Ovis aries: one gene and its partner. The main gene of each other region encodes a partner of the protein of the gene in region 2 in a complex. Links are inferred from orthologs where the notes say so. Each region holds a gene or a part of one and is shown on either strand. Other genes may lie near its edges.

Evidence for each region.
Region 1: POLR2E (region 2) and POLR1H share a complex: the UniProt entries of both Homo sapiens proteins name them as parts of the pol I pre-initiation complex. The link is inferred for Ovis aries from reciprocal best matches to the Homo sapiens genes POLR2E and POLR1H.

Annotation. Positions count from the first base shown.
Region 1 is NC_056073.1:27,950,798-27,955,811, forward strand, and holds the start of POLR1H (DNA-directed RNA polymerase I subunit RPA12), read right to left. Parts: upstream 3,226-5,014; 5' UTR 3,166-3,225; intron 2,969-3,165; 5' UTR 2,950-2,968; coding exon 2,814-2,949; intron 2,576-2,813; coding exon 2,475-2,575; intron 2,054-2,474; coding exon 1,892-2,053; 3' UTR 101-1,891; coding exon of another isoform or gene 76-100; 3' UTR 1-75. UniProt on the Homo sapiens protein: Core component of RNA polymerase I (Pol I), a DNA-dependent RNA polymerase which synthesizes ribosomal RNA precursors using the four ribonucleoside triphosphates as substrates. Can mediate Pol I proofreading of the nascent RNA transcript.
Region 2 is NC_056058.1:41,257,351-41,262,088, forward strand, and holds the start of POLR2E (DNA-directed RNA polymerases I, II, and III subunit RPABC1), read right to left. Parts: upstream 3,155-4,738; 5' UTR 3,090-3,154; coding exon 3,033-3,089; intron 1,591-3,032; coding exon 1,416-1,590; intron 607-1,415; coding exon 491-606; intron 145-490; coding exon 64-144; intron 1-63. UniProt on the Homo sapiens protein: DNA-dependent RNA polymerase catalyzes the transcription of DNA into RNA using the four ribonucleoside triphosphates as substrates.

The DNA.
Region 1 (5,014 bases), on a different chromosome or scaffold from region 2:
GACAAAGGACCTAAGAACCCAATATCCTCCAGCTTCCAAGTAAGAAAAGGATTGTTGAGTCGCTCAGAAAAAAAATCAAGAATCTTCCTTTTCTTGGAACCTACAGAGAAAGAAAAGACTTGTTATATTTGACCAAAGGAAGAGGTACTAGCAGTGTAAGATGAAAGAAATAATTGAGGAAGGACTTTCATTTATGACCATAGAGGACTAGCTCCCCTAAACAACCCTACGCAAATTCAAGACAATTAAAAATGCTGGGATTGAAACTGTATCTTGCAAATTATGAATTATGTTGATTTCTTAGGAAAACAGAGCACTAGCCATAAAAGAAAAAAGGATAAACTAGACCTCATAAAAATGAAAAACTTCTGGTCATTAAAAAAAAAGAAAAATTTTTAATTTTCTTAAATTAGTTGTTTAAATTAAATTAAACAATTTCTCAGCCTGACTGAGAAATACTCCCCAAAGGCATTTCTAACTATATTTTTAATCCATTGATGAGAAGGCAAGAAAGTAAAGGCAATCTTCACAGTGAGTGAAAGTATACAAAACCAGGAATCTAGACAGGTACATTAAAACTGAAGCCCCTGGTACACTGGTGCCCTTGCTGTTTTGAGAGCCACATGAGTGAACCAGAGACAAGCCTACAATGTCTGAGAGGAGATACTCAGAGTAAGTTTGAAACCTCCAAAGGGCTACACCTGTATAGAAGTGAACAAGAAAAATAATCCAACTCTGCAGAAGAGGAATTTGACAGTCTCACTAGGTAGAGAGAGAAAAAAATTTCCCTCTAGAATTTCTAACCAAAAGCTGGCCTTACATTAGATTCGCAGCACAAATCCATACTACCTATTTGCTACAAAACACATGAAGCTGAGAATTTATTTAAAGTCATTCCAGCTTGGTAGTGCTTCAAGGCACCTGAAGAGGAAACACACATGCTAAGAATATAGTTTTCCAAATTCTAAAAAATCTGAGCTTATATTAAAAAATTATACAACAAAAAAAGCACGATGAGAAAGTCTGCAGGAATAACGGCAGCATCAGATCCACAAAAACTGTGGGTATGAGAATTAGGAGACACAATATAAATATCAGGCTTAATATATTTAAATATATGTAAGAATTACAAATAATATAGGATTAAAGAATCATGAATTATTAAAAATGAGACTTGAAAAATAAGCAGAACTCAAAAAAAAAAATTTTTTTAAGTAACAATAACTGACATAAACTGAAGACAGAATTAGTGAAGCGGAAGAAAGACCAGAAGAATTTACCCAGAAGCAATATAAAGAGAAAATAGATGGAAAATTATGAAAGGGTGAGAGAAATGGAGTAGTGGGTAAAGTCTAATAAGCAACTAATTAGAACTCCAGAATGTGAGAACATAGGTAAAGGCAATATTCAATGAGACATGGCAGATAATTTTCCAAGGTTGACGGAAAAGAAAAAAAAATCAATCTTTACTTTCAGAAAGCCCAGCAAATCCTACACATGATAAACAAAAGAAAGCCACATCCAGATACACTGTAGTGAAACCACAGAACCCCAAAGACAAAGGGGAGTTCTCAAAACTATTCAGAGAATCATGTTCTTTAAAGCACCCATGACTAATTCTCATCGAAGTAAAACTACCTTGAGTACAGTGGAAGATGCAACAGTAACACCCAGATCATCAAGCAACATTAGCTTTCTGTATTTTTTTTCTTTCCTTTTAAATATCTTAAAAGGTTTAATTCACCGAGTATAAAAAGGATAAGAAAAGTGTAATTTTCTAAAATAAAAAACGACCTCAAGTTTCCCTATTACTTCAACTGTACAGAAGAGAGGGATCGGACCAAAGAACACAACTGTTTATTCAGTACAAAAAGTAAGTCACTGGATTTGTTTAGGTCGCAAACAGATTGAGAAAGGGCAGAGAGGAGGAAAAGGATACGCACTTGCAGTTGGTACAGGTGTAGAAGACAGTCTGCCCTTCATCGGCTGATCGCATCTGCCTGGTGTGGTATGCCATTCCCTCGTGCCCACATCGAGAGCAGCGCCTGTCAACCTGGAAAGCAACTGGTGGGATTAATAATCTCCCTTTCCGGTCACAGACATCAGGCTGTCACACTCCCCAGACTCTGATGTTTTAAAGACCCCTCTTCCCTCTTAAAGGACTTCCCACGTGGCACAGTGGTAAAGAATCCGCCTGCCAATGCTGGAGACGCGGGTTCCATCCCTGGCTCGGGAAGATCCCGTGGAGGAGGAAATGGCAATCCGCTCCAGTATTCTTACCTGGAAAATTCCATGGACAGAGGAGCCTGGCAGGCTACAGTCCACGGGGTCACAAAGAGTCAGACACGACTCAGCACAGCACACACCCTTCCCTCTTGGAATTAGGTACAAAACTCTCCAGATCTGTGCAATCGCCCCTCCATTTCTTTCCCACCCTCCTTTGATGGGGCCAGTCCTGGATGTCATTCACTCACCACAGGTCCCTGGAACTCAGGTCCTTCCTCCATCGACAAAGGCATGGCTGTCCCCAGTTTGTTAAACACAACTGAGGTTTTCACAACCTTCCCCTCAAAGTCTGCGCAAACAGTAAGAACTGGTTGTGGAGACAGTAAGGAGTGCTGACACCCATAACTCCCTCTCGGTTAGGACAGGAGGCCTTATATTCTTCCCTTCAGGTTTCGACCCAAGGCCAAAAGTGCCTGATTTCCTGCTTCAGGGTCCCCCTCTTCAATCCAACCGATATTAAGGTCCTCAAGCCACTGACCCTTTCACGCTGGGCCCTCTGCCGGGGTCGCTGCGTACAAGCCCCTTACCTCGCACATTGATGGAGAAGCCACAGCGGGTACAGGCGACCGCATCCTGAGCCCCGGGCAGAGGCAGGACCGAGCCGCAATCTGGACAGAAATCCAGGTCCGACTGAAAGCTGGAGCAGATGCCGGCGAGGTCCATGACGGAGGGTGGTCGAGGACTGGGAAGAAGAGGAGATTGCTAACAAACGAGAGTAGCTCCCTCCCCACTGAAGGGTCATTCCTATTCTGTCCCTGGACCTAAGCATACAGAACCCGAGTCCTTCTCCCACGTATGCCTGTGCCTCTAAGACCAAGGAGCCCACATATCCAGAATTCCAAACCGGGGTCCGGTACTTCGACTTGGGGGTTTGCTTACCTGGGACAGGCGAGAAGAGGAAGCCAACTCCGCGAGCTAGAACGCCGGCTCTACGCCGCTGCGGACTAGCGAGAGCAAGCGGGCTAGAGCGCCCTGTCGTCCGGCCTGTCGATTGGCTGTTACGTCATAATTAATCGCAAACTTGATCCCCGGAGGGAGCGGAACCTTTGAAGGAAGGTTGTAGCGCTACTTTCAGGCTGGATTTGTGATGTTGGATAAGAAAGCAGGTGATTGAAGCTGAGCCTCCGGTTGTTTTCCCCTCACTACCCAGTTCTGGGAACTACAACTTCCCCTGTTCCTGAGTTGGTTCTTTTTTTTTTTTTATTTTTATTTTTTTTCTTTTTGAGTTGGTTCTTTTAAAAAAAACAAAAACCAAAGCGAAACATTCTGGAAGTTACAGTTCTAGCGCTCCTCGGACCTCGCGATGCAAGCAAGGGCGCTCTGCAGAGCACCGCCTGGCTCGAGTGCTGGGCCCTTGGCGACGAAGAATTGATGCTTTTGAACCGTGGTATTGGAGAAGACTCTTGAGAGTTCCTTGGACAGCAAGGACATCAAAGCAGTCAAGCCTAAAGGAAATCAGTCCTGGATATTCACTGGAAGGACTGATGCTGAAGCTGAAACTCCAATACTCTGGCCATCTGATGCGAAGAACTGACTTATTTGAAAAGACCCTGATGCTGGGAAAGATTGAAGGCAGGAGGTGAAGGGGAGGACAGAGGATGAGATGGTTAGATGGCATCACCCACTCGATGGACGTGAGTTTGAGCAAGCTCCGGGAGTTGGTGATGGACAGGGAGGCCTGGCATGCTGCAGTACATGGGGTCGCAAAGAGTCGGACGCGACTGAACTAAACTGGGCCTTTGGAAGGGGTGAGTCGACCTCTTACCGGGCATGAAGTGGAAACGGTGAAGGCGGAGGAGGAATCCTAGTCACTAGGAACGAAAGGAAGCAGGGATGAAGTAGGACACTTTAGGAAGGGGCTCAAGACTTTGGAGGTAGTGGAACAGAAGAGATTGGGACTCCTTCCTCTTTAGATGCCCGTCAGATGAGGGAGGTTAGCATTAGTCAAGGGAGCAGCCTTGTGACGAAGACTGTCGAGGTTTGCTTTCAGTTGCAGACCCCTTTCCACCTTGTCCCCGGCCTCCCATCCAACCAGCTCTACATCATCATTGCATCCATTAGATGGAGAGTTGACATATCCCTGATCTTTTATAAAACATGAGGACAAGTGTCTTAAAAGTTTTGCTGTTTTAATTCATCTGGAACCTACAATCTAAAGTGTAGAATCTTGTCGTCCTGAAGGGACAGCTTCAAGACGAGTTTCCTAGTTCTCTCCCAGTCCATCCACCCCCTCTCAACCTCATAGCTGTGCTAAGCTGTTTATGTATGAAAGTCCCGGAGCCATCACTATTTTCTCCTGTTTGAAAGAGAACAAGCTGTGGTCTCTCCTAGAGAAGTTTTGATCCGCTACTCTCTGAAATAATGGAAACACACAAATTAGTGAGAGGGTTAAAACTCTGAGCAAGCTACTAGAAAGTGACAAGCCCCATAATAATTTGTCTCACAAGGAAAGGTCTGCTGAGCCCATGATGGTAGGCAAGTTTTTATTCTCTCTTCTCTGTGTGTGTCTCCTTTGAAAATAGAAATGAGATTAGTCCAACTTTCCCTTTCAGTATCAGTTCAGTCACTCAGTCCTGTCCAACTCTGCGACCCCATGAACCACAGCACACCAGGCCTCCCTGTCCATCACCAACTCCCAGAGTCCACCCAAACTCATGTCCATTGAGTCAGTGATGCCATCCAACCATATCATCCTCTGTCGTCCCCTTCTCCTGCCCTCAATCTTTCC
Region 2 (4,738 bases):
AAAAGGTGAGGGGCTGGGGGCTGGGTCTCCAGTCTCATCCCACCCGAGCCCCCGCACCCCTACCTCGTGCTCTGTGATGTTGATAAGCAGCTCCTGCTGCAGAAACTGCTCCAAGATGTACTTGGGTGCCATGTCAACCAGGGACTGGAAGAGACGTCAACCCTCAAGTGCAGCAGGGGCAGCCGCCCGCCCCTCTGTGGCCCCGAGGCCTGCCCCAACCCAGCTCCTCCTCGTGGGCAGCTAGCACCCTGGAAGTGGAGCAGGGTTTACCTTTGTGGCTCAGAAAGACATCGCGCATCATAAATTGGGAAACCCCACCCAACTCCGCCCAGGCTCTCAGCAGTAATAAGGCCTTCATCTCACATCAAGAAAGGTAAGTACCTGTCAGGATGCTCCCAGGGTGGCTGGGAGCTAGTGTGGCAGCCGGTCCCCGGGCCTGGGGACAGAGGTGCTGGCCAGGCTCCATCCCACCCTGGCGGGGCAGGCTTACCTGCTTGGCAGAGGGCGTCATGCCCTGCTGCACCACAATGAGGGCACGTGTGATGTTCTCCTCCTGCATGCGCTGACAGTACACCTTGATGGTCTTGATGCCCACCTTGGGCTCCTCTGCAGGCAGAGCACAGGCTGATCAGTGCTGCAGGGCCCCTTCCCATCGGGCACCCAGGTTCTAGCCTGGCTCTGCCAAGGCACTGCGGTGCCACTCCCACTCTTGGGCCTCAGCCTCCCCGTGTGCAAAGCAAGAACTGGGCAGCTGGTTCCCAGAATGGGGGAGCTGGCTGCCTCCAGGTCACATGGGAGCTGACAAGTGCCCTGGGTGCCCTGGACCTCAGGGACCTCTTCTGGAAGTGGGGTCTGGGAGTCTGGGCTTGGCCAGGGCTCAGTGGCTCTGAGGTTTGGGAAGCCCTGGATTTGGTTTAGTCTTGGAGTTCATGAGACAAGGGCTGGGGTTCTCAGAGGTAAGCTGAGGTGAGCTGACCCAGAGAGTATGGTCCTGCCAGACACAGACCACCCATCTCCATGCCGTAGCACTGGGGGTCCTCATGGTCTTGGCAGCATGCAGGGCCTGCCACAGAACAGCCGGACCCTAGGAGCCCAGCAGGTCAGCACCTAGGGCAGCCCCAGGGTCTGTGTGCAGTATGTCCGCCCCTTCCAGCTGCTCTCACTTCCCATTCCACTAACCCACTCTGCCCTCAAAGTCCCTCTGTTGGGGTCCTGGCCCTGGAATCTCAGAATGAAACTGTATTTGGAAATGTGATCTTTAGGCCCAGAGAGAATGGATGGGTGATCGAGAAGAGGGAAGCTGGAGAAGGGGTTCCCAGAGCAAGGAGGGCAGGGGACAGAAGGATAAGGGTGGGTGCATGACTCTGGGGCGCACAGCAGGTGGCTGCTGTGAGCTGGCCCTGAGCAGCCCTCACCTGGGAAGAAGACGAACATCTGGTCAGTAGGGTCGTCGTTGTGGGCCACCAGCACCGTGAGGTCCGTGCGCCTTGGCCGCCCTTCACTGGGCTTGTCCCCAAACTGGGCCTTGAACTCCTCCAGAGTCTGGTCCAGCTCGTCCTGGGTCACCAGGTAACCACGGTCATGGCACAGCTGCAGAGAGAAAGGGCAGGTGATCGATCGCACAGTGGAGATAGGACAGCAGCCAGAGCTCCGGTGGCCTCACCCACCGCAGAGGAGACTGGGGAAAGGCCTGGGATGCAAGCGGAGATGTTGAGTCCAGAGTCAGGCCCCAGGGCGTAGGTCTGACAGGTACAGCAGGCTGGGCGGGTGTTGGCTGTGAAACCAGGCAAAAGCCTGAGGCCCAGCAGTTCAAGGTCCTGCTCAGAAACTAGGGCTCTGTGAGCACACAGACTAGGTGAGGACCCAGACAAAGGAAGGTTGGAGCTGCCACCCAGCCCTGCCCACATCCCCCACCCCCCGCCGAGTCTCCATTCAGAGACCTGGGTCTCCTCTCCCGCAGCCCCGACACCATCAGGTAGAAGCGCAGCTGCTCCCGCCCTGTCTTGAGTAGCTCTGCCAAGTGTTGAAGAGGCTGGGTCATAGCCCAGCCTTAGCTCCAGCACAATTCCCAGGAGGCTGGGTGCTCTTGATCAAGGCCCCAAGTCTTTGTGGCATCACACTGGACCCCTCTCACATGGTGGCTTAAAGCATGTGGTACACAGAAAAAGCTGGTGTGACTGCTGTGACACTGAGACTGAGTTGGTGGGCAAGGCATCTAAGTAACCACCAGACAGCAGTCAGACCAGCCCACCAGGGTTCCTTCCACCGTCAAGAACCCGGGATTCTGCGTTATGCACTTACGGTGGTGCTGATAAGACAGGCTGGGAGCTGGGACCCTTTGCGGCAGCGCCTGCACTTGGACAAACATCTTCTCCAGCAACAGAATACCCAGAAACCATGCGGGACTAAAAATAACCGTGCAATTGCCCAGCTCGAGCAAATGATAGACAACAACAGAAAGTCAAAACCTCCACTTCTGAGGTGCCGGAGCAAAAGCTGGGTGCCAGGCCTGATCCCTGCACACAGCACCACCCAGAGGGTAGGCAGACCACCCGAATCATCACTCTGGCATGACCCCTGGACCCGCGCCCACCCTCATCCCATTATCCCATTCAAGACGACCTAAGAAGGGCGCCTGTTGCTTGTTTTCGCTCCCTCCTGCTGCAGCATAAGCTCCAACAAAGCCTTGCCTGACCTTCTAGTCTGGCCTGTTATCAATTCTTACTGATTAAGAACTTCAAGGATCAGGGGCTGTAACACCACAACCCTCCAGAAACACAAATACAAGGCGGCCCAGCGTCTCCCGCCTTCCCTCTCTCCAGCTCGAGCGAGATCCTGACCCCCTTCTCTGGGGGCTCTGGGGCTCGACTCCTCCGCTCCAGCCGCGCCGCCGCGGGTGAAGAGGCTCGTCCTCATCAACGGGCCCTAGCACCCGCCGTTCACGCCTCGGCCGCCACGTGCCCAGTTCGTCTGGCGCAGCCAGGCACGCCCTCACCGCGTTCTCCAAGGAGGGCTGCCTCCGCGCGGCTCACCTGCATGATGGTCTTGCGGATCTTCCACAGCCGGTATGTCTCCTCCTCATCGTCCATGATTCCCGCCGCTCTCACACACTGCGCCTGCGACCAGCACGACCAGGGCCCACAGTGCCTACTCCGAGTCCTGATCAGGCCCCCAACACGTCGTCTACCCGTGCAGGGCTGTCGCAGGCGAACGCCTGAATACAGCGACCTTCGGGAGCGGCACTGCCAAGGGCAGCCCTAGCCTTCCTAAAGCGGCGGTTGGTTGCGCGAGCAGCTTTCAAACAGCACCGCCCACCCGCCCCTCGGAAGTTCTCGCGATGCTTTGACGGCACGGCTTCTCGGGAGTGGTGGTTTTTGCTCAACGTCAGTCTGGACAGTGTTTAGAATCTGGAGAGATTGAGGAAGTGTGAGCGGAGCCTCGGTTTTCCGTTTTGTATAATGAAAAGAATAAAGTGTCCCCCATTTTAGAGGATCTAAAGAGATGCTCGTACTTGGGAGGAGCTTGGTATAGTTCCTGGTGCTTACAAAATGCAGCTGAGCCCCAGCCCAGCCCCTGCCTGGATACCCCAAGAGTGCACAACCTCTGCATCGGCCCTTCCCCTCCGAGTTCGTTCAGGAGGTTTGTTCAGGCCTGCTCAGCCCAGCTTACTTGTGTCAGTAACTTCTCATTCAGTAATATATTAATTCAATGATTCAGTATTTAATGAGGAGCCAAAGAGACGGGGAACAAAACAGACCAAGCATCCTTACATGCCAGGGAGAGACAGGACAGAAACAGCGGACATAAGTAAATGATACAGCGTGTTAGAAGGAGACAGTGCTGTGGAAGAAAAAATAGAGAAGTCTCAAATGTGGTCATGGAAGGTTCCAACAAAAATCCAAAGGGTGAGAGGGTAGAAGCCCTGGGGATGTCGAGGAAAGTGTATCAGGTAGAGGGTACAGCATGTGCAAAGGCCCTGAGGCCTAGCATGTTGGCAGCAAGGAGGCCTGTGGGTCAGAGGGTCAGGTGGGGCAGATCTTGGGAGCCCTTGCTGGTTGGGTTTGAGAAGTTTGTGCTTGCAGCCATTTTCAGCATCTCCACAGGGCAGAAACAGGGAGACCAAGGAGTGGGCTAGGGAGGACCGTCCCGGCCAGAGATAGATGAGGCCTCAAGTGAAGGATGAGCTGTGGGCAGGTCTAGGGTGTCCAGAAGGCAGCGCTCATAGGATCTGTAGGTGGACAGGATGTGGAAAGACACAGAGACAAGCAGAGGAGGAAGAACAGACCTCGGTGGGGAGGCATAGAAGGCAGATCTGGAGCAGATCTTGGATATGGTGAGCTTGGGACTCCTGGGGGACCCTACGGGGAGCATCCAGGGGACAGTAGGGCACAAGCCTGGAACTCAGGATGAGCTTGGAGTGGAGGCTGATGTGGATGTTGTGGGCGCACAGTGCAGACTGGAGTTGAGAGGCTGATGAGGTCACAGAGCGCATCAGAAGTCAGGCCTGAGCCCTGAAGCTGGGAGGAGGGGAGGAAACGGCAGAAGGCAAAGAGATGTGGTTACCTGGGCTCCAGTGCTGGCTGTGCGACCTGGGCACATTACTTAACCTCTCTGTGCCTCAATGTCCCCCTCCTCCTTTGTAGAACAGGGGCAAGAACAGAACCCACTGCATATGTACTTGGCTGAAGATTGCAGGGCGATACCCAAGTGTTCCTGAAACAGAATAAAGGGTGGGTAG